Linked DNA regions of Coturnix japonica. The protein of the gene in region 4 purifies or fractionates together with the protein of the main gene of each other region. This does not show direct contact. Links are inferred from orthologs where the notes say so. Each region holds a gene or a part of one and is shown on either strand. Other genes may lie near its edges.

What was found. Proteins that work in one complex are often made in the same cells at the same time.
Region 1: the proteins of CCNF (region 4) and CDC6 purify together in Homo sapiens (affinity purification with western blotting; 4 studies listed by BioGRID and IntAct, with this or other methods). This does not show direct contact. The link is inferred for Coturnix japonica from reciprocal best matches to the Homo sapiens genes CCNF and CDC6.
Region 2: the proteins of CCNF (region 4) and TARDBP purify together in Homo sapiens (affinity purification with western blotting; 3 studies listed by BioGRID, with this or other methods). This does not show direct contact. The link is inferred for Coturnix japonica from reciprocal best matches to the Homo sapiens genes CCNF and TARDBP.
Region 3: the proteins of CCNF (region 4) and RBX1 purify together in Homo sapiens (affinity purification with western blotting, with the first as the bait; 4 studies listed by BioGRID). This does not show direct contact. The link is inferred for Coturnix japonica from reciprocal best matches to the Homo sapiens genes CCNF and RBX1.
Region 5: the proteins of CCNF (region 4) and NUSAP1 purify together in Homo sapiens (affinity purification with mass spectrometry; 3 studies listed by BioGRID, with this or other methods). This does not show direct contact. The link is inferred for Coturnix japonica from reciprocal best matches to the Homo sapiens genes CCNF and NUSAP1.

The regions. Positions count from the first base shown.
Region 1 is NC_029542.1:4,070,681-4,075,518, reverse strand, and holds the start of CDC6 (cell division control protein 6 homolog), read right to left. Parts: upstream 3,139-4,838; 5' UTR 3,022-3,138; intron 2,695-3,021; 5' UTR 2,685-2,694; coding exon 2,507-2,684; intron 2,408-2,506; coding exon 2,192-2,407; intron 2,096-2,191; coding exon 1,896-2,095; intron 1,691-1,895; coding exon 1,521-1,690; intron 1,405-1,520; coding exon 1,298-1,404; intron 1,208-1,297; coding exon 967-1,207; intron 742-966; coding exon 677-741; intron 574-676; coding exon 368-573; intron 202-367; coding exon 61-201; intron 1-60. Other genes in the region: WIPF2 (WAS/WASL-interacting protein family member 2), read right to left, coding at 3,862-3,902, 4,417-4,518, 4,637-4,838. UniProt on the Homo sapiens protein: Involved in the initiation of DNA replication. Also participates in checkpoint controls that ensure DNA replication is completed before mitosis is initiated.
Region 2 is NC_029536.1:3,498,334-3,503,013, reverse strand, and holds the start of TARDBP (TAR DNA-binding protein 43), read right to left. Parts: upstream 3,139-4,680; 5' UTR 2,873-3,138; intron 2,581-2,872; 5' UTR 2,566-2,580; coding exon 2,328-2,565; intron 1,669-2,327; coding exon 1,505-1,668; intron 813-1,504; coding exon 672-812; intron 105-671; coding exon 1-104. UniProt on the Homo sapiens protein: RNA-binding protein that is involved in various steps of RNA biogenesis and processing.
Region 3 is NC_029516.1:45,482,260-45,486,943, forward strand, and holds the start of RBX1 (E3 ubiquitin-protein ligase RBX1), read right to left. Parts: upstream 3,139-4,684; 5' UTR 3,124-3,138; coding exon 2,995-3,123; intron 2,194-2,994; coding exon 2,115-2,193; intron 1-2,114. UniProt on the Homo sapiens protein: E3 ubiquitin ligase component of multiple cullin-RING-based E3 ubiquitin-protein ligase (CRLs) complexes which mediate the ubiquitination and subsequent proteasomal degradation of target proteins, including proteins involved in cell cycle progression, signal transduction, transcription and transcription-coupled nucleotide excision repair.
Region 4 is NC_029529.1:12,341,611-12,345,537, reverse strand, and holds the start of CCNF (cyclin-F), read right to left. Parts: upstream 2,801-3,927; 5' UTR 2,622-2,800; coding exon 2,609-2,621; intron 1,364-2,608; coding exon 1,209-1,363; intron 951-1,208; coding exon 844-950; intron 9-843; coding exon 1-8. UniProt on the Homo sapiens protein: Substrate recognition component of a SCF (SKP1-CUL1-F-box protein) E3 ubiquitin-protein ligase complex which mediates the ubiquitination and subsequent proteasomal degradation of target proteins.
Region 5 is NC_029520.1:21,983,003-21,987,740, reverse strand, and holds the start of NUSAP1 (nucleolar and spindle-associated protein 1), read right to left. Parts: upstream 3,139-4,738; 5' UTR 3,037-3,138; coding exon 2,836-3,036; intron 2,702-2,835; coding exon 2,636-2,701; intron 1,771-2,635; coding exon 1,603-1,770; intron 779-1,602; coding exon 610-778; intron 1-609. Other genes in the region: OIP5 (protein Mis18-beta), read left to right, coding at 3,274-3,547, 3,619-3,685, 3,865-3,987, 4,660-4,738. UniProt on the Homo sapiens protein: Microtubule-associated protein with the capacity to bundle and stabilize microtubules. May associate with chromosomes and promote the organization of mitotic spindle microtubules around them.

The sequences.
Region 1 (4,838 bases), on a different chromosome or scaffold from region 4:
GCTCCATGGGGTCGGCACACCGGGGCTGCCCCATAACTGCCCCCAGGGCTGCCCCCATACCTTGGTGAGGCGAGTGTCCTTGGCGCGCTTCAGCTCCAGCACCCCACGGGACTCCAGCAGGGTGACCAGGGACAGACACTCAGCCTGGTCCACTGCAGGGAGCTGCTGCCGCCGGCACACGCGGCTGTAAGCGTCGTGGAGCTGGGAGGGCAGCGAGTGTTAATGCAGCCAGGGGAGAATGGGGACAGCGGGGAGCCCAGGGACATCAAGGGGACAACAGTGAACCCTGAAACGCTGGGGAGCTCAGGGATGATGGAGGCTGTGGGGGAACCCAAGGGACACTGGGGAGGCCACGGCCACCACTCACCTTGCCCAGGGTGACCTGGCGTGTGCGCAGGTGCCGGGTGAGCAGCAGCAGGGAACACACCAGGACCTTCTGCTGCAGTGGGAATGCGTCGCCAGCCCCAGGGCTGCACGGTGCCATCCTGTCCCCAAACACCTCCGAGAGGACGCGGGACACCTGCGGGAGCCCCACTCTCTTGGGGACGGGGCACGGCGCCGCTGTGGGGTCACCTGCAGAGGGGGGAAGGGCTTCAGGCACCGCGAGATGGGCAGAGGCACAGAGACCCCAGATGGGACCAAGGGGTCGGTGCCCCCTCAGGGGTCGGTCACTCACCCCCAGGCAGTGGTTGAAGCAGCGTTTGGCTCCGCACGTCCAGCTCCACCAGCTCCACAGCGCGCCTGAGGACACAGCCCCGTCAGCACCCAAAGGTGGGATCGGACCCCCCAGGCCACAACACAACACCATGCTGTCCCAGCACATCACACTGCTGCATGCCCCCCACACCCCCATGCTCAGAGCTGGGAGAAGCTCCATAGCAGGAAGTGCTGGGGAGCAGCAATGGGGCTGTGCAGCACGGCTGGGCCTGGCCCTGCATCACCAAACACTGCGGGTCAGAAACTCACCTGCAGACATCGAGTGCTTTACGTGCATCACCGGACACAGCAGAGACCTTCCGTGCACAGAACTGCAGGGCGCTGGGCTCGAGGACGGGGCCACCCTGCAGCTGCTGGAGGCGGCCGTGCAGGATGGCACCCAGCTGCTCTCGGCTGTATGGGGCGAAGCGCAGCAGGTGTGGGGCGGGCAGTGGGGGGGCGTGCAGACGGGCCAGCAGGCGCTCGGTGAGGTCCAGTGCGTTGGCCAACCCTACAGAGCACAGTGGGGTGAGGAGGGCAGGGGGATCCAGTGTGGGGGCCGTGGGGCCCTGATGTACAGGGGGTGGGAGTGTGTGCTCACCAATGAGGACCAGGCGGGAGCCGGGCAGCCGTGGCCACTCGAAGATGGTGTAGAGCACGTCCTGTGCCCTGCTGCCCAGCTGGTCCATCTCATCCAGCACCAGCAGCCTGTGGGACACACAGTCAGCACACAGTCAGCCCACAGCCCCACTGGGGACACAGGGACACCCGCCCCAGCCGTGCCCCCTCTGTCCCCTTCCACCCCACCCCATAGGGTGACTCACAACATGGGTCCTTTGGCCGTCAGTTGCCGCTCCAGTCGCCGTACCAGCTCCCTGCCGCCTGCCCCGGCCGTGGGCAGCCCCAGCTGCTCCGCCACCGCAGGGAACACGGCGTGTGCACTGCTCAGTGCCATGCAGTTCAGCACCGCGCTGCGGCTGCCCGACAGCTCGTCCTGCAGGGACGGGGCAGAGTCACATCGGGGTGTCTGCATCCCACTGCCCACCATATATAGTCCCATAGAAGCACCCCATGTGCTCACTCTGAGCTTCATGCACTGCAAAGCCCATGAGCGCAGTGAGGAGCAGATGGGATCCCAGGGCTGGGGCTGAGGCTGGAGGTGCCAGACGCCGTCCCCACGTTCTGGGTCTGTCACTCACCCCTCCGTCCCGCAGCACGCAGCTCACACAGGCTGTTTTCCCGGTGCCGGGTGCTCCTGCGATGTACAGGCTGCCGGGGCGCCGTGCAGCCAGGTGGTCCCGCAGGAACTGCCGGATGGTGCCCACCTCCCGCTCACGGCCATGCAGGCGCTCGGGCACCGCCACGTGCAGCACCCGCTTGGCCTGTTGGTAACATGTTCCTATGGCAAAGGGGGAGAAACCAGGGGGTGAGGGTGGGCAACGGGCCGGGGCTGCTCACAGTTCTATGGACGGGCCGTGCCACCATCCACACGCACCTTCCTGCCTGAAGAGGCTGCGGGTCGGCCCTGAGCTGCGTCTCGAGCCCTGCGGTGTCTCCTGCCTGTGCTGTGGGTTGGCCGGTCCCGGGCTGTTCTGCTTTGCTGGGGAGGCCGCGGGGTCCCCGAACAGCGCCCTGCAGCCGCGGTTCTCCTTGCAGCGCTTGGCCGGGGAGCACGGCGTGACGTGGGGCACGTTGCACAGGTTGTCATCGCCTGCAGGAGCCGCGTGTGAGCGGGGACAACGCAGCCCCACGTCACGTCACGGCGCTCAGTGTCGGGGCCGCCCCCACCCGGGGGGGCAGCGCTTCTTACCCAGGCGTTTGCGGGGGCTGAGGGGCAGCGCTGAGCCCCGCGGGGACGGCGGCGACAGGCGGAGAACGGCGGGGTCTGTGGGGCCGGGGGCGGCCGGGGGGATCTTGGCGGCACAGCGGGCGCTTCTCCGCCGGGGGAACGCGATGGTGGGTTGGAGCTGCGGGCGGGCGGCGGACATGGCTGCGGCCTGCGGGGATCGGGGCGGTCACGGCGGAACCACCCGAGCTGCCCCCGCCCCACAACCAGCCCCACGCAGCCCCCAACCCACAGCGGCCCCACGCAGCCCCCCTCAGCCCCCAGCCCCGCTCCACGGAGCGCAGCCCCACAGCGAGACCCGAAACTGCTGCCCTTATCCACAGCCCGCCCCACAAGTCAGACCCCCATGTCCTCACAGCACCATCCCACACGAGCCCCCCTGCCCTGCCGCAGCCCCACAGCCGTGCCCCATCCCATCCCATCCCCATCCCATTCCGATCCGATCCCATCCCATCCCATTCCCCCCGCTCCCCACTCACCCTCTCGCGCCAATTCACCCCTCAGCTCCGCACTTCCCGCCACCAGCCCGGCCAGGCCCCGCCCCCTTCACTCCATTGGCCGCTTCTCACGGCGCCGGCGCCAACCGCGAGATCTCGCGCCAAACCTCCGGCGGGGCGGGGCATAGAGCGGCCAATGGGCGGCAGCGCGCGGGGCACGCCGGGAGGCGCGGGCGAAGGCGCGCTGCACACCGGGAGATGTAGTCCAGAGCGCGGGAAGCCCCGCCCCCCCCATATCTCCCCCCCATCCCGGCCATGTCGCTCCGTTATCTCCGTTATCTCCGTTATCTCCTTTATTAACTCAGTTCCAATATCCCGGTTCCGTGTCCCATCCCCCCATGTCTGAGCGCAGCGCTCAGGGCGCCCTTTAGTGCCCCCCCACCCCGGGGGGATCCCACGTGATACCGAACAGCCCCACACGGTTCGGTTCCGGTTCCGGTTCGGTTCCGTCCCCGCCGCAGCTTCACAACGTCCCGAATGGACCCGAACCGTCCAACGAGCCCCGCACGGTCAGAGCCCGCAGCCCCCACGCAGCCCACACACCCCCCGTGTCCCGGTGTCACAGCTCCCCCCGTGGGTCCCACCCCACGGTCCCACCCCACGGGACCCCCCGGCTCAGCCCGTGTCCGTGTCCATCCCGGGCTCCAACCTGGGGCTGCGGGGCCGGGAGCCGCGTGGGATGGAGCCGATGGGGGTCGGTGCGTCCCGTGTCCCGGGGGCGCTGAAGGTGCCGGGATTCTCATGCAGGTTCATGGGGTGGGTCCGGCTGGAGGCGGGAGCAGCTCCGGGCTGCGCTCAGCACCGAGCGGCACCGGCTCGGCCTCACCTGGGGATGGGGGGCAGCGGGGGGGCCCCGCGCGTGGCTGCAAGGAGAGAACGAGGTGAGAAACCAGGGCTGCACAACCAGCATCAAACCCCCCCTTCGTGCCACTCCAGCGCTGTGATGTGAGCAGCAGCCGCTGCAGCACACAGAGCTCGGGGCCTTTCAAATCCACATTAAACATTCATGGCTCTAAAAATAACCCGGCAGCCGCTCTCCCCAGAGTCCCCCCCGGGATCCGCAGGGCTGGCACTGCAGCACGGCAACGCTCCGTGCAGGATGTGCCGCAGCCAGCGTGGAACGATGGGGATGCAGGCAGTGCTGGGGCAATGGGAGGCTCCTAAACCCACCTGCCCCATTGCAGCGCTTCAAAGGGAGGGCCCTGCACAGCCCTCCAGCACCAAACGCCCCCAGCACAGGGGCAGCAAGCTGCCAGCACAGCCAGCATCCACACATGGGGAGCCCAGGGGAAAGGCCACAGCGCTGGGCTGGGAGCAGGACAAGGACCGAGCACTGCAGGGCACGGTGGGGACCATGGGACGCTGTGCCCCTCCTACCTCTGTTTGTTTTGCTGGGGTAGATTCTCTGGAAGTATTTATATTCTTCTGGGGCTGGAAAGTCTTCGACGGGGTGAAATGAGTATTTGGATTCAAAGTCATCTGCAGAGAAACAAAAACCAGGCGGGTCAGGAACAGGCTGCAGATGGGAGTCAAGGCTGAAGTGTCAGCTCTGCCTGGGACCCCCAGGGCTCCCCCCAGCCCCCCCAGCCCCACTCACCCAGGAATGCTCTGACAGTGGCAATGGAGTCCCGGTGCCCGTTCCTCACTGGTGGTGGGGGTGGGGGGGGTCCTGCAGGCGTCCGGGTGGGCGGTGGGGGCGGCTTCCCACGGCTGGGGGGCTCAGTGGAACCATGCAGTCTGTAGGGGGGTGGGGGCGGGGGGGCATCACGCCCCCCATTCCGCAGCATGGGTGGTGGGGG
Region 2 (4,680 bases), on a different chromosome or scaffold from region 4:
TCTCCATACTGAGCAAAGAACTGCTGGAGTTCATCTGCTGTCATGTCCTCAGTGCAGCGCCCAACAAACACTTTTCTGCTCCGCAAAGGCTCGTCGGGACTTTGCTGAAGGGAAGTGGAGAGAGAAGTATAATTAATGAATGGAAACTTCAACATGAAGACCAACCGTTCAGAAGACTGAAGATAAGGAAGTTTTAATTTGTAAGCTTCAGACTTCTGAAACTCTGTTCAGAGAGCACGTGTGCAACTCGGTACAGATGGGAACAGGGAAATAAAGGTAGTCAGTTATGGGCAGTGACAAGGCCAGTGCAGGACACGTCACTGTGCTGCACATTTAACTGCATATCCGCATGATCAGAACAGACTCATTCTGATATTCCATAGTTTCATGTGGCAGGCATGATAAATAACAAACTGCTGGATGTTAATAACACATTATTTTGTACTTCATATTGGAAAACTGAGTGCAGATATAACTAGCTATATCCCCAACACGTCTCATTCACTTCCTGTTCACCCACCTCCTCTATTTTCTTTATCCTGTTTACTCAGACTCCAAAACCACGAATAGGGCTTTTATTAACGTGTTCATCTGCTCACTTCGCACAGTGGCTATAGAAGTGAAGTTGTGAATGTTAGGCAAAACAAAGGTAGTCATAAATATGAAAGTACCTTAGAGTTGGGAAGTTTACAGTCACACCATCTGCCATCTATCATGTGTCGCTGGGACATGACCTTAACCTGGGTTTCATAATCCGTAAAACGAACAAAACCGAAACCCTTTGAGTGACCAGTCTTAATATCCTTTTTAACCTAGGATAAAAAAGAGCGGACTTTAAAACAGAACACAGTAGCACCGTGCTTGTGTTGGTGACATTAATGGCATGCTATTTACCTATCATCTTCTGTATCAATCTTGATATCATCACCAGAAAGGATACAGCCAGATCTCTGATTACCCCCCTTGTATACAACTACCTTTTCCTATGATACTAACCCTGCTATTATGCAGTCACAGCACAAGCTTCTGACACCTACAAATTTAATGCATTCTGACTGCTTTGAGCCCCAGTATTAGTTACTAAAACAGCAGGATCAGCATCAGGGTATAATTACTTTGTAACACTGTAATGACACGGCCAGACCTGCTATATAAACAATGCAAGCACACACAGCTGCATGCAGGACAGAGCCAGGCAGTGGTGACAGAGGTAACCTAGAGCATGCAACATGCTGTTCCTGAATTAATTTAGTAAAGCTTTGTTTTAAAGCCTGAAAAATAAGACATATACTCAGCTGTGACAATCAGCAACATAAACTAAAGAGCTGTTAATACATTGTACCCATTAGGCAGATCTGCGTGGATTACCACTCCCAAATATTCCCATCTGTACCCACACTACAAAGCTCTAAGGCACACAGCTTCAGATCTGCTCCTTTCTACTTTCTATCATCAGAACCCTGATTTCTACTTAACATCTTTCCATACTCAAAAAGTATTTTACCTGCACCATGAGGACTTCTCCAAATGTACTGAAGTATTCCTTTAAGTCTTGTTCTGTGGTTTTCCAAGGTAAACCTAGGACTATCAAGTCCGAAGTCTTCTGTACTGCTCGTTTTACCTTCACGGCTGAAGATGCATCTGTTTCATCCATTTTTCTCTTATTATCTGAATATAACGATGTACGTTAGAAATCATCCTCCTAACTTTAGAAACCCCTTCCACTAATCTTGAACAGCGCGGTATAAAACCAGACAACACTAAGAGGAAGTGCAGACAGCGGAAGAACACATGGCAGCTGTTGGAGGTTATCATTACAACCCACAGCCAACTGTCTGCAAGCGTGAAGAAAGAACGACCTACCAAGTCCTCCTATAAATGACCAAGTCCTCCTATCAATGCATTCTGAGTTAGTTTTGTGTTAGTTTACTCAAGGACCACCCAGTAATGTTTACTGAGGATGGGAACAAGATGGGTTTTTGACAACGATATTTAATGAGAAGGCTATTTCTAATTATTTTGGAGTGCTTTTGGTTGGATTTGTCTCACGTAGCTGTGACCAAAGCACGGCTTGAAGAGAAGTGTCTGTGAGTACACACAGCACCAGCATCTTTACAAGTTCTAATGAGGCTGCAACTCTCCCAAGCACAACATAAAACTGTCATCTAAGCCCTTCTGCAGCTAAAGAATTGAAGCTCTGAGTGCATCTGAAAACCCAGCGGGCTCAACTTCACCTGCAGGATGAACACAAGTCAATTGCTGTCACACACATCGATCTCTGGACTACAAAGCGCACTCATATGGAAACACAAAGGCACAGCACGAACCTTTGGGGTAGTTCACGACATAGACCAGGTTTCCCCAGCCGGCCTCAGGTGCGTGCAGGATGCCCTCCACCAGCCGCACGCCCCGCATACATTGCGATACCGGGTTGCGGTAACGCAGCCCACAGGCCCCGGGGAACTGCGCCGTGACGGTGGAGAGCAGCACGGTGCCGTCATCCTCCGACGGGATCTCGATGGGCTCATCGTTCTCGTCCTCCGTGACCCGGATGTACTCCGACATGTTCGCTGCAAGTCACTGAAGCGTGAGAGAGAAACACGCATCAATAACAGCCCCAACAACGCGCCTCGGGCCCAGCGGGGCACAGAGCGGCACCGAGCGGCACAACGGCAGGGCACGACCCGCCTCGCCCCGCCCCGAGCGGCGCAGGCCCCGCAGCGGCAACACCGGGCTCAGAGCCCCCACAGGGCCGGGAAGTGCAGAACAGCCCACGGGACAGCTCAGGGCTCACAGCTCACAGCTCGGAGCTCAGAGCTCACAGCCCGATCCCCGCCGCCCTCATTCCCAGCCCCGGCCGCCCCGCTCCTACCCGTCTCACCGGGCGGGAATGCAGCGCCGCGTCCTCAGCCCTCAGCGCCTCCAACGCGCCGCACAAAATGGCGGCCGGGCGGCGGGGCGAACCACTGTGAGGCGGAGGGGAAGATCGGGGCGTGTCGGCCGGCAGCGGGAGGGAGCCGGGATCGAGGCGCGGCTCCTGCGAGACGAACAGGAGCTGCAGCCCGACGTCCCGGAATGGCACGGGCCGACAGAACCGGAGCCGGGCTGTGCGTGCCGTTACCCCGCAATGGGCCGTGGTTCGGGCCGAGCCACGCGGGGGCTGCCGGGAGCGGCGTGAGGCGTTCCCGCCCTGTGCGCCTCCCTCAGGTGGCGGTGTCCGTCATGGCGGTGCGGGTCGGGTCGGGGCGGTTTGGAGCTGTTTAGAGCAGGTGATGCTCGCTGTTGTAACACTGCTTGCTGTTTAGTTCTTCCTAAGCCCAGTTTCTATTTAGTTAATGGGAAGTTAAGCCTCCATATGCTGCATAGTGATCTCCTGAGTCCCAGGCCATGATAACTAATGGACACTCGTGTTGTTGCTGCTGTTGCTCTGGCTCCATAAGGTAAGAACCCCACGCAGGACAGTGTCTGTGCTGAGCTGTGTGTGGGCAGCCAGATAAGGGTGGCTCAATCAGCAATACAATACAATTGTACAATACAATACAATACAGCACTGTGCTGTGCTGTAGTAAGGAAAGCAGCACCTTACAGCTCCCATCTCACCTGTTCTTGGTGCCTCTGATCACACACAGGCTGTGCTCACACCCAGATTGACTCCCCTTGTACCACTGTCCTTAAAAAGAACAAAAAGAAGCAATCTTGTTAGTAAAGGTAGGTGACTCCTGCTAGGTAGGGCCAATCCAGTTCCTTGCATCGACACAGAGAATTGCTGAGTATTTAAAGCTCCCACTTAAAACTTACAACTGCAAAACTTGGCTCTGGCACCACTGAAACTTGGCCCATCTGTGCCCCGGTAGCTTTAGACTCAGCCTTATCATTTAATTACCATTTTCCAACAGAGTTCTGAGAGCAGCTGACAAGACACAAGCTGACGAGATAAGCTAATGCTCCATGTAGGCGTTCTCTTGAAATTCCTACATTTTCCAGCCATCCACAAGACACGTCCCAAACCCAGTTCTGGTGTTGCCAAGTCAGCACGGAGGTAGTCGGTGTTGTCTGAACACGCCGTGAGGACTGAGCGGTAATTGCAGCATGTCAACATTACCTACTGCACCATTCCAAGTCAAAGCTATAGTTTAGCAATCAACGCTATTTGAAGAGGTTGCCGTGGCATTCAGCCAAAGTGACCTCTATCTGACAAAGCATCTGCTGCTAGTTTTATTAATGAGCAGAGTAAACATCAACCCTGTGCTAGATTTGTGCAGGTAAGAGCCAGGGGAGGGCAGTGAGCAAATGTAACTATCTTTTTTCTGTAAAAGCTGGGATTCTTGCAGCATTTTCCTACTGTTATTTTGCATGACTGTTCGATTTAAGTTAAGCAGATAACAACAGTGTTGCCCTTGAAGTAACTACACCAGCGGGCCAGCAGCTAGTTAATACACCAGTTGTCTCACGCTGGCAATTCACAGTGCCCATGGGTGCAGACAAATGCAGTACCGTGGTACTAACCATCATGTATATCGAGTTAAGTGTGCCCACAGGAAAGAAAGAAAATGCAATACAATAACTATTTGCTGCTCTGGGTTAAGTGTGCTCGTGGGTACAAACAAACTCCATAACGATCAGCTGTTTGTTCTCTCTCCCAAAAGCACTTGGGGTGAAAAACCGCCATCAATGGCCATT
Region 3 (4,684 bases), on a different chromosome or scaffold from region 4:
GCCTTAGCAAACCTCATATATTTAGTTCTGCTCTTCCCAAAAAGCCAAAATAAACCAACCTGCAAATCACTGTGAGATTTTTTTCTTTGGATTCTAATCAATTTGTCCATCTCTGTGACACCAGAATATCACATTGATACTTTCCATCTTCTATCAGAGAGAGTCCACTATTTTGATGCCACATTTCACACAGTTCAAAGCACACCAGTCACCTTGCAGTACTACATTCCACTTAGAGGACAACCCACTATATGATCATGGTGTTTCTCAACATTCCCCAAACTTGCCCCATTGCAACCATTGCAGCAGGGAATAAACCTTGAAAGAAATCAAGGATGTTGCACAAAGAAAATCTAAATACATTCTGGGCCCTTTCAGAAATGAACAAAAACCACTGAAAATCTACTCATCCCTTCTATGTGCCGAACATGAGCCATAGTGAGGGCCAGGGGAATCCTTTGTCCTTAGTATTAGCAGCCAAGTCGTAATGTATGTGCATTAGCAAGACTGCACGAAACCTTAACATTGTTATATCCTAACTTTTGGATGCTCGACTTCATAATGTTAACAATCTTCCATTAGCGTGGCTGGTGTTACTTATCACCATTGTAATGTTTTCCCTTTTAAGGTTTCTCCTCATCAGTGGGAGAGGGAGACATTCCTGCCCTGCACTTTATCAAACTGAATCTTGTGTTGTTCTTCCCTGCACAATCTAGTAATTTTTTCTCTATTTCCCATCACTTCACATCTTCGGTTTGAAAATCTAATTAAGATGTTGCTTAACATCATTAATGATCGTTAACAAGGAAGTAAGTAAATCCAGAGCCAAGGCTGAACTCAGAACACCAATTTAGATACCGCTTCTACTCTGTATACTGTCAATTTTGGTCCATCATTTGCAGTTTGGGCTTTTGATAGCATTGATTATGCCCTAACTAATAAGGTGTTATGCTTGAGCAACTCAAAAAGCAAAACAAAACAAAAACTAAGTTACCTGTGCTCTCTTCCTTTGAAGTTCTTCCTAACACGTCTATATTCTTTCAATTCCACCCAACCTCAATTCTTAACTGTAAAGCACTATGTCAGAGGTCCTCAGCACATGTCACAACCACTCCTCTCACCTGCTTGCCTTTAGTGCTACCATTCCTCTTCTAATGATCAAGAATAAAGTGAGCGATGGACAGGCAGCAGCTGGCTCAAAATAGAACACATCTGACTCAAAGCAAAGAAGTCAGCTTGCTTAATCCCCTTTCAGCCCTGCATGGTACACTGCACAGCCTCTTTTTCTTTTCCCCTGCTCTTTTATATTATCACATTGGCTCACTAACAGTAAGTTACCATCAGCTGTACTTGCAAGGGCTACTAAGAAGAAAGTGAAACAAAGCGACCACAAAGAAATCATGACTAGCCCTTGTCAGGTACTGAAGGTCTTGCTTTTTGAGGTACCACAATCCTCCCATTTTAGTAGTACAGGTGACTTCCTATCTGGGGGATGTTAAAAGGTGTTCTGTATCTTATCATTGAAAGAACATGGACAGTTACGGTGCCAACCATATATTGCCAAAGATTTGAGGGGAAAAAAAAATGGCTCTGTTCTTATTGCCAATCCTCAATTAGACCAAAGCCGGTGACTTTATATATGGATACCTATTTCACAGTAGAATTTTTTATACTTACTCCTACTACCACTTTGTTTTCCTAAATAGTAAGTGTATTTGTTAACAGGACTGTTGGGACCATACAGGGGGGAAAAAAAAGGTGAATTAGTACTAGCAATGCTTGGTGTTGGTTTAGGCATTAGATTATTCTCTTCATAGATAACAAACGGATTCTCTAGCTGGCCACAGAATTCCCCACACTATAACCCTAATTTAGGCAAAGTAGCTTTGGCAGAATGAGGAGTCAAAAATTCAGTGGCCTGAATCTTTTCTGGTCAGTCAGACACAGAAAGCAGAACTTGAGCACTACATAGAACAGAGTTTATAGTGTTACCGAAAGACTTCATTCTGAACTGAAAACCAGATTTGCTGAAATGCACCCTGAGCAGTGGAAATTTCAACTGTGAATCTTGTACATGTCAAAACTGTAAGCACGCTTCCCCATCATTTACTTACATAGATCCATAATATGGTTTCTGCAGATGGCACAGTTATCAACCACAATGTCCCACGCCCACAGAGCTACTGCATTCCACTAGAGTGAGGGGGGAAAAAAGAGAAACATAAATTTTATTCAACATATAACACATGGAAATCCTCATTATTCCTCAAGATCCTCTTTCTTTCTGAAATGATAAGGTTAGGATATTAAAAGACACACACCTTACAGCACCAGAGTAATTCTTTCTCAGATACCTCTCACACTCAGTGCCTCCTTCCAGTCTCAGAAACAATTGATACTAGTCCCACTCTCTTTTTTTTGCCATACAAATGCAAACATCTGCATTTCAATTCATAATCTGGAGGCAAGAATGCATCTCACGCCACATCCTCAGTTTGGAACTTCTCTTGTTTGTAGCTGTTTTCCCAGTAATCATCCCTCAGAGCAGCTGGGGCCAACAACCAGAATCACCTCTAACTTTGCCCCTCAGCGACTCCTGAATCATTTTCATTGCAAAAAATATACAATATCAAAAGTGCTCCCACAAAGTGCTCCTAACCACCTCCGGGCCTCGTTGAAGTGAACTTGGGATCTTTCACCACCATTCAGCTCGCAGCCACACTGGAGAGGGTAGGTCAAAGAGGGATATTATGGTTGTTAGGCCAAAGAGGGATATTATGGTTGTTTGGGGGAAGCAAAGCAAACCGGGATGACAAGACAGCATTTGTTGGTCACCTACGAGTTGATTTGTGAAGAATACAAAAAGAAGCAGCCACACAAATGCGTGCAAAGCTCCCTTCACATCACGTAGGGCCACTAAGACAACTGAGCCAAAGCAGCCGGGACTGAGGAGGCAACAGCAGCGCACCGACTCGCCCCTAAGCCCGGCATTACCCTCGGCTCTGGGCGGCGGGGCCCAGCCAGAACTAGCCCCGCCTCGCCTCTCTCCCTCCTCCTCCCCGCGTGGTCGCGCCCTCTGATTGGCCAACCTCCGTTCCACGCGCGGAGACCCGTCTCACCCATTGGCCCCGACACACGCCAATAGACTCCGCAAGCACCGCCCCCCCCTCCCCTCATACGGCGGTGCCGGTGCGGAAGCAACGCCCGGCTCCGTGAGGGGGCGCGGAAAGCGGCTCAGCGCCCCGACCCGCTCGCGGCCACCTGGCCGCTCCCGACCTCCCTCCTCCCGCTGGGACCGGCCGGGTAGAGCGCGCCACGCCAGCAGGTCTCACTTTCTTCACTTCGAAGCGCTTCTTGCCGGCGCCGCTGTTGGTGCCGCTGGGGGTGTCCACATCCATCGCAGCCGCCATTTTGGATGCGTGAATAGGCCGTTCCGCTCTGTGCGCATGCGCGGCGGAAGGGGCCGCAGGGAGGTGTGAGCGGAAGGTGTAGGCGGGGCTTCCGCCAGGGCCTGCCCTTACCCCCCCCCCCCCCCCCCCACACACACCCCTCCGTCCCCGGCAGAGCCTTTTTAAGGGAGGAGGTTGCCTTGCTCTTCAGCCCTTGCTCCCTTCCCAGCCCCTCAGGTGGGCTGAGCTGAGCTGCATATCCTTTGTACCATATCAGCCTCAGTGCTACCCCAGTGGTGTGGGATGTCTCTGGGGCGCTCAGGATGCACTCAGGAATGAAAATGTTCTGAAAGAAAGCAGGAATTCATGTGCTCCGAAACACTTTTTAGAGCAATACTTTATTGTACAGAGGTTATAAAAATGAAGTGCATTTTATAACTCCTTAAAGAACTGTAGGGCTGGCTGGCTGCCCTCCATTGCTGATGCCACTAAAAGTAATTGATTTGGCTAAGTTTGCCTTTGCTGTTGTGAGTGTCCAGACAGACAGCATCACAAATGGTACCTCATTTACCGTCTTTCCACATTGCCACAAAACTTCTCAGAGTTCATGAATATCATGGAACTTCAATACTCTGTAGCATCCCCAGCTGATCTGGAGTGCTCAGAGAAAATTTGAATTCTAAGAACAGAGCCAGAGGGGTAGATTAAGCAATATATCCCATAGTTTTTTGGCCCAGATCATGGTTGGTTTCTGCATGAACCCAATCCCTCTGCCTCTGTGTGTTTTCTAGATGATGGTCACATTATATTCCCATGTAGTGCCATTGTTTTTTCAATCTGTTACTAAAACCTCAGGTGAGAAATGAAGCCTCCCGCTCCCCATAATCTGACTAAGATGAACAGATGAGATTCAGAGAGAGGAACGAGTTGCAGCATTTCATGGGATGGTGACTAATTGCTGCTCTTTCTTTCTCATGGTATTGCACCTCAAGCTGCTTGATAACTTGAAGATAAAATAACAACCAACCGTCATGACTCAAAACCAACATGCAGGTTACCAGGTGCTTGCAAAAACCATGGTACTTAATGACTGTGCCCAACCTACTGCAAACAGCCTTTCCTCATGCATGAAAAAGAGCAACGGGAAGCATGGTTCTAGGCTCAACAAATAACTCTGTCTCTGCAGAGGACATCTCAGCCCCTCATTGTGCCCAGCCATCAGCTGTGACAGGGAAATATGACTGGGACAGAAGAGTCCCAGTGTATGACAGTGAGGATGTTGGGCTGATTTAAAA
Region 4 (3,927 bases):
CAGCAGCCCTGAATGGGAACAGAGAAAATACTTCAGGATTAAATCAATAGGAGCTTCCACATCAGACAAGCTACTTGAGTGAAGGCCTGGCTGTGAGTTTGTTGTCCATCAACCACAAGCACAACTGACTTCACTACAGAAGTTACAAGTGAGTTACGATGAATGAAAATATTGCAGCAAGAAAAGCCACATCTGTGCCCAGGACCATCTGACAGCTCCAGGAATCGTTTCTCAGTCCCATGCAACATCTCCAGTGCAAGAAAGTAGGTTTAGGTACTTGCACACTCAGGGACGTGCCTGACAGATCTATTTTCAGACAATGCCTTTCTTCAAAAAGAAAATACATGCATCAGAGCAGACATGAAAGGAACAAAACAACTAGTATGACATTCATGTGAACCCATCTCCTTCAAATCAGGTGGATAAAAAGGCACTTTCCTTCTGCACATGCTTTAATATATTCAATTTCACTTATTTTTCAGTACATCGGTTTGAGCAAAACAACCAAGACTTAGAACTGTGGTCTTTCATCTCACTTGCTTGTTTATATGGAAGCACCAGTAACAGGATTTCAGTTCATGTGTTACATTCAAACAAGTAACAGTAATGCCCTTAGAGGAATAACTTCCACGTATGCCGTAGGCCCTGCTCCAATTAACACAGCAGCAGCTATTATTCACAGCTTAGACACAAAGCCAGCTACCCTCATCACTCCATACAGAGACTTGCACAAATAAGCACAGTCAGATTCACCACTTACAGTGAAGACTGATTAGAATTGTACATGTGGCACGAAACACTCTCCTCTACAACCTCAAAGGGATGCTGATGCTTAAAGCTCACCTTTCAAACACCGTCAGATTTTTTGGAGACGGCCATACGTCTTCAAAGCTTGCACATGCCCAAACACCGGCGTGATGATCCACGAGGTATTTCAGATGGGAATGCACCTACAAGGTATGAAGGGAAGCATCAAGTTATTATTAAAATAAAGGGATCAGCAAAAAAATAGTTGGTGATCTAATTTTAGATAGGCAACTAATTAATCACAGCTCATCATAACTCTCTTCCTAGGACAGCAAATATCTGTACACTGCATGTATTTTCTAGCTCTCCTCACAGCTCCTTGGATGTAGGCATTCCTCTGTGCACTTCTGGCTCCAGGGGCAGAACTAAGGCAGTGCGTGGCAGGAGGGGCCGGCACTCACTGCTCTGAGCAAGAGGATGTCCTCAGTGGGAAGGTCTTTCAGAACATGAAGGAGAACATCCTCAGGCAGACTCAGCAGCGTCAGGACTCGGGGCCGTTTTCTTATCTTTCGCTTGGAAGGGAAAGAGAAGCACCTGGAACAGCGGCAGTGAACCACTGCAGAACAAAAACAACACCACGGTTAGTGACAGAACAGCAAGAGGAAAAAGGCGCATACAGAATGTGTGTTTAATTAAGTAGAGTGCATCTTCAAGCACATCAACCATAGAAACTCAGCTTGCAGCACAGGACACTGGAGGACCAAACCATAAAGAAATGACTCGTTCAGTTCAGCCAATTCAAGGCAGGTGCCCAGAAGGGACGGCGCACCCCCATCACTGAGCACATCGCCCTGACCCCATCGTTTGGCTGCACTGAGCTCAGCTGTCACTGCTGCATTTCCATGTACCTCCCCCAGGCTACAACTTCTTATCAATTGATAACAGTCCTTGAAACGTGACCGGAGGGATTAGGAAGGTAAAGGCCCATTGAGCCACCCGAGTCCAAAGCCCATCGCTGTGGGCGGTGCTGCTGGCAGACCCCTCACAGCCAGTTCCATCATCTCACAGCGCACAGCACGGCCCTGCAGCAACGTTCGGGTTGAGAGCTCAGCCCCAGCACATCCGAGAGACGGGAATGAGCCGAGGGACGAGGGGGGGCCGGGAAGAACAGAGTAACGCGGGCAGGGACAGAACGGCCCGAGGCTCCCATCCGTTGTGCCGGCACAGGGCGATACCCGCCGCGAGCAGCCGGGTCCGCCGGCACCGGGAGCCACAAACACCGAGTCAATATAACCAACAAACAGCAGGAACCCAAACGATGAGCGGAACCGGCACGAAGCGCACGGACACAGCGGGGCGAGAGGCAACGGGCCGCGATGGGCGCCCAGCCACCGTCAGTCACCGTCAGTCACCGCTCCCACAGCACAGCGGGGCGCTCAGGGACGGGCCGGGCGGTTCGCGGGCGGCAAACAGCGCTGAGAGCGATCGGCAGCACGGGGACGGCCCGGGGCGCTTCCTACCGCTCACACAGCGCCCGGCACCGCTCACGGCCCCGCACGGAGCGGCACCGATAGAGCGGCACCGATAGAGCGGCACGGAGCGGCACCGATAGAGCGGCACCGATAGAGCGGCACCGATAGAGCGGCACGGAGCGGCACTGCCGCGTCTCGGGGCGAACCGCCGCCCCGCTGCGGCTCCCCCCGCCCCTCCATGTCCCTCCATGTCCCTCCATGTCCCTCCATGTCCCCGCCGCCCCCCCCCATCCCGCATCACCCCGCTCCTCCCGCACAGCGCTCACAGGAGCCGCGCGGACCGAAGGAACGCAGGCAGGGAGGCAGGAAGGCGCGCGGCCCGCACTCACCGCCCGCCTTCATCCTCGCGGACCGAACGCACCGACCCGGCACCCGAAGCGGCTCCGACCCAACTCAGCGGCCGTGAGGGGCGGCGATACCGCACGGGGCGGCGATTCCCGCACGAGGCCGCGCCCCCCCGGCTCAGCGCGGGGCCGGGAACCAGCGCGAGGCGCGGCCGCCCCCGCCCACACACACGGCGGGACCCGGCGCTGGCTCCGCCCACAGCGCGGGACGGACCCGCAGAGCCACGCCCACAGGGCGCGCGCAGCTCTTTTCAAACACAGCGCGGCTCCTGATTGGTCGGGAGGATGACGGGAGGTGGGACCCACCCCGCCCCGCGCGCCGCCATTGGACGGCGAGGATGCGAATTCGAACTGGGGCGGTTGGCGGGTCTGGAGCGCGGCGGGTACTGCGCATGCGTGAGGAGAGAGCGGCCTGCGGGCTGCCACCGCGCGGCGGGACCGGGCGGACATGGCGGGTGGGAGCGGGAGGGACCGGATACATCCGTGTGAGAACGGGGCTGCAGCGCTGACAGCTCCGTGTGCAACACAGTGTGCACTCAGTGTGTGCTCAATGTGCAACCCAGTGTGCAGCTCAGTGTGCAACACAATGTGCAACTCAGTGTGTAACCCAGTGTGCAACCCAGTGTGCAACTCACTGTGCAACCCAATGTGCAACTCAGTGTGCAGCCCAATGTGCAGCTCAGTGTGCAACACAATGTGCAACCCAATGTGCAGCTCAGTGTGTGCTCAATGTGCAACCCAGTGTGCAGCTCAGTGTGTGCTCAGTGTGCAGCCCAATGTGCAACTCAGTGTGCAACACAATGTGCAACTCAGTGTGCAACACAATGTGCAACCCAATGTGCAGCTCAGTGCAGCTCAGTGTGTAACTCAGTGTGCAACACAATGTGCAACACAATGTGCAACACAATGTGCATCTCAGTGTGCAACTCTGTGTGCAGCTCAGTGTGCAGCTCAGTGTCTGGGCCGGAGGGTTGCAGTGCTGCAGTGCGGACATGCCCGGCAGGACATGGAAAATGACAGAAAAATGAAGGAATATTGATCTTTTTGAACTGGGCAGTGCTGTGAGCTGAAGTGCTGATCACACTGTCAGCTTCTGTTCCTTGTTCTCCCCGTCGCAGCTGTTTCTGTCAACTAAAAATAAGTTGAACTAGAAAACAGAACGTGAATAATGAGCTCCCTGTGGAGAGTTAAATCCCATCAGGAGAAGCTCCTTGACCCACAGCTCCCCAGGTAGATCCTGTTCTTGGCAGCAGAGGTTGCAGACCATGGCGGGGATGAGCTGTATCACAACGCTGCTCTTCCAG
Region 5 (4,738 bases), on a different chromosome or scaffold from region 4:
CTCTGATAAGAATGCCCCTTAAATTCTATCAAACAGCAAAGATACCCATGGTACATCACAGGGACTGTTACATTTAACCTAACAGGAGGCAAATAATGGGCTGTGTCCAGTGATTTGTTGCGAATCTATTAATCAAGATAGGAAAGATAAACTTAATTCCTCTCTAGGTCAGCTGCTCGCACAAAGGACTAGAGGAGAAGCGAGACCATATTTTCAGTAGCATCATGCTCTAAGATCAAGAAAATCAGACATAAAAGCAATCCACCATTATACTGCCTAACAATATTTGTGTGTTAACAAACTAACAAGGGCATTGTCTGCATATCGTTTTATACTAGCTCTGGCTCTACCCCCAAGAAGGCAATGACAAAGCCCACTCATCCAAAGAAAGAATAACAAGGCATATTCCAGAAGGCACTGATCCTAAACAAGCCCCTCTAACCCCCCCCCCCCCCCCAACCTTCACGCTGCCTCTCCGGGTCATTTCCTGGCATTTTCAGAAAGGTAAAGATCACTAAACATGGCACTAAGACATTTACTTTTTAGGTTATTTTTTGTCTGCAAATTTGAAGTACTACAAAGCTTATTTTTAAGGAAGTTTTTACTTACATTCTGCTCTAGTGCTTTTAGTAGAAGTCTTCTTTGTCTTCTCAGCAGCCACCACTCTTGGATTCTCATTAGCAATTTTTTTAGTAACTTGTTCCACATTTTGGAATACCATCTTTCCCTTTTCACAGTCAACTTGAGGCACCTCATTCTCTTTTGTTTCGGAATGCCCCTGCAGTTAAGCATACTTCATTAAACAATTTGTTCCAACCGGGTATAAGGAAAGGATCTCGTTCTGAGAGCAGCTAGTCAGTGAAATGGGTGTCTAGAGAGGTGGTGTATAAAAAAAAGTTATAAAAAAAAACAGCTTATGTAAAGCCCCAAGCAGTATGATTTCACCTCATAGCATGCCCTGCTTTCAGGGGGAGATTGAGCAAGAGACTTTCTGAAATGCAACTGAATTTAACCTAGGAAATGTTTATAATTATCAGTATTAAGGCTCTAATCTGCATGATTGAAACATTTCAGCATAACGTTCCTTTTATTAACAAAACTATATTCAAGAAAAAAATTACTCAATTTCTACATTGCTTTTGACTATTACAGCTTTAGTTACCACTGGCTTTCATTTACTCATGCTGTGAAGACCAATGCCTCTCATCTCATCTTTTCCCTCTAACTCCCTCTACCATGAAGTTTTCTGCACAGGTTTGACTTCACCCTCTCACTCATCCAAATCCCGAAGCTGCTTAATATTCAGATACTACGATGAACTAGTGAAATCAGTCCTACACCCAGCGTAGGTAACCATGCATTTCCTCAGGAGGATTTCTATTTTTAGACTAATCACACAAGTCATTCCTGTTCATTATGGAGTAGCGTGCAGTCCAATTAGACAAGACCTGTGGTAGAAAGTACTTGTTTTCTGTACACCTGCATACAAAAATGAAACCCTTACCTGCTAATCTGGTAGCACAATTAATCAAGCCTTTTTGTTTTTAAAACTCCAGTTTCATTGGAAGACACAGACACACAAAAGAAAGCAACACAAATTACCTCCATCTCAGCAGAAGACCCTGTGTTTTCTTCACTGTCATTAATTTCCATATCAGAGCTCTTCTTTTTCCTGGTTGCTTTCTTTTCTTTACATCTTTTTGTGACGAAACATGCTGGATTAGGTATAAATTCAGAGTCCATTGAAGGAGATGCACTTTTTTCAGAACTCTGTATCAGAAAAGCACCATAACATGTAATAGACACACAAGAGATAAGTACTCCGAAGGGGCAGCTTCAACACTAGTGGTGGAGAAGGCACTTCACACAGGTGAATGCAAGAGTATGCTTAAGTAGTAGAGTAACTAGCAGTATCTAGATTTCCTGAAACACCTTCACTCCATTTTCATGGAAAAGCTACATAATAAAATAATTGTAGACCTTATATTCAGCAAATATGGGGATGGGCCCAGGGCCTCATCCAGCCTGGCCTTGAAACCTCCAAGGTCACAGTATCCTGCAGGCAACTGGGCACATCCCCCTCTGGGCAGCTCGTTCCATCACTTCATCACTGTCAGTTAAAAATCTTCCCCAACATCTAATCTAAATCTCCCTTCCTTTAGTTCACAACCATTCCCTCCTTGTCTTGTCACTATGTACCCACGTAAAAAGCTGATTTCCTTCATGTTTATAAGCTCCCTTTGAATACTGTAAAGCTCCAATGAGGTCTCTCTGCTGCTTTCTCTTTTGCTTTTGTTATAATGCCAGTTTAACTGAATTGCAGATGTAAAATACTTGGGGTTTAGTTAGTACAGAACTTAAACCTTAGTGTTTACAGGGAATAGTTTTGTACTGATACTAACAGATACATTTAAGGCAGAATTAATGCCTTCTGTTGCTTAAGAGGGCGTATCAAACGTTCACATATCTATCAACGTGTGAGCACATTAAACTAAAAGCACTATAAAAAAGTGCTTTTATTACAATTAACATCGTGCTAAAAAACCAATATTTGTAAACGGTAGAGCACAACAAAGTAACAAAGTTTAACAAAGTGTTCTTTCTGAAAAAGAAGGGCTGCCTTATTATTTATTACCGTATTTTCATTTCCTTGCACTCTTCCTTGGAAGTGCTGCTTCAGCGCTTTCAGCAGTTTATCTGCCTGCAGAGAAAGAAAGCAAAGCAGCACATGAACTAAACGCTGCACGGAGCCATCAAACAAACAGGACGCTGCCCAATCCCAAACCCAGCCCCAGCCCGCACAGACGTTTGTGAGCCCCTCGTTCCCCCGCTCACCCTGAGGTTGGCCTTCAGGCCGGCAGCCTTGGCGACCTGCTGCAGCTCCACGTACTTGAGCGCGTCCAAGGCCTGGAGCTGTGAGGGCAGCGCCATCATCGCTGCTCCGCCAACCGCCGCTCTTCGAATCTCGCGCTTAACCGACGCGCAGCTCCTCGCTCCCGCCCCCGCCGTTCGAACTGGCCCGCCGCGTCCTGCCATTGGTTTGGCCGGGTGAGGGAGGCGGGATTAACCGCACTGTGATCGCCCACTGGCCGCCGTAGCCCCCAGCGCTGTGTTTTTCAAGCGCGATTGGCCCCGGAAACTCGGGGCCGTAATTCTCGCCCTCTCCTTCTTGATTGGGCGGCAGAACGAGGCGAGGATTGACGGCTTTACTGCCCAATAGCAGCGCCCTCATGGCGAGGTGGAGGAGGCGGGAGACGCGCTCCAGCGGCGGAGATGGCGGTGAGGCGGCACCTGCAGCGCTTCTTCGAGGAGCCGCAGCGGTTCTTGGAGGAGCCGCAGATCCGCGGCACGATCGTGGTGGAGCGGCCGCTCCCCCCTGAGCCTCCCCCGGCTCCACCTGCTCCGGCTCCGGAGGCGCCGCGGTGTTGCGAGCTGCGGCCGGAGGATTCCGCCGTGTTCCAGTGCCGCGGGTGCTGGGCCGTGCTGAGCGACTCGCTGCATCTGTGCGCCATGGAGGAGCAGCGCCTCGGGCTCCTCGTGTGCCTCAGTCAGTGCTGCGGGACGGGGCGGGGATGGGGCCACGCGCTGCTGCTACACGAGCTAATCCTCTGTCCGCAGGAGTCACCGGCAACGTGCTGTGCGAGGAGACGCTCTTGGTCGGACTGGATGGAGCCCTGACGGGATGGTGCGTAGCAACAGCCTTATACAGCACGTTGAATGCCCTTATACAGTGCACTGCAGTCTTACGTGTTTTACTGCCCTGACAGAGGCAGCGATGCAGTGCCCTCTGACAAGTGAGCAGCAGTATCCGTGCTTTCAGAAGCTTTTTTTTTAATAATATAATTGTTTTGTGTTTCCTTTCAGTACGTACAACACACTGTCCTGTCGGTCGTGTGGCTCGGCTGTGGGCATTGTTCTTTATTCTGCCTTCAGAGAGCTGGCCTATCTCCGAGGCTTCTTCTGTTTCTTCAAGGACAGCATCTTCTGGTAGGTGCCCTGCCCTGGCTTCTGATGGTCAGGGACTTCATGGCAAGCTGCAAGTTATTCCAGCTGAATACAGCCAACATACCTAACAAAAGCTGCTTTATTTCTGACTCAGAGCATCACTGTGGGATGTTAATGTTCTGTTCTTGTTTTATGTTGTCATAATTCCATCTGATCTACCTTGTACTTTTTGAGTCTCCTTATCTTACATCAAAGTTTTAATTGAGCTATTTGCGGTGCTGAGACTCCTTCAGTTCCAGGTCCACTTAACTAACGTGAGCTATCAAAACAAGTCTGCGATAGATGGATCTGATTATAGAATCACAGAATAGTTTGAGTTGGAAGGGGCCTTTACAGGCCATCTCATCATCTAGTCCAACTCCCCTGCTCCTAACAGGGACACCTACAGCCAGAGCAGGGTGCTCAGAGCCTGGTCCAGCCTGACCTGGAGTGTCTCCAGGGACAGAACATCCACCTCAGCTCTGAGCAACCTGTGCCAGTGCCTCAATAGCAGATACCAAGAGGACTTCATGATTTGGAAGTAAACATGTTATTCTATGGAGAACTTTAGGGAATAGTTTTATCTGCTTTAAAATCAGCTTAAATAGTCTGTCTAAATGAGTGCAACTTCTTGTTTGCAACTGTTTTTCTTGTTTTTCCCCACTTGTTTTCCAGTTATCTCTTAAAAAGCAAAATGATAATCGAAGCTTCTAAGGTGAAATTTCCTGCTGTGACCTTAAAGGATCAAATGGAG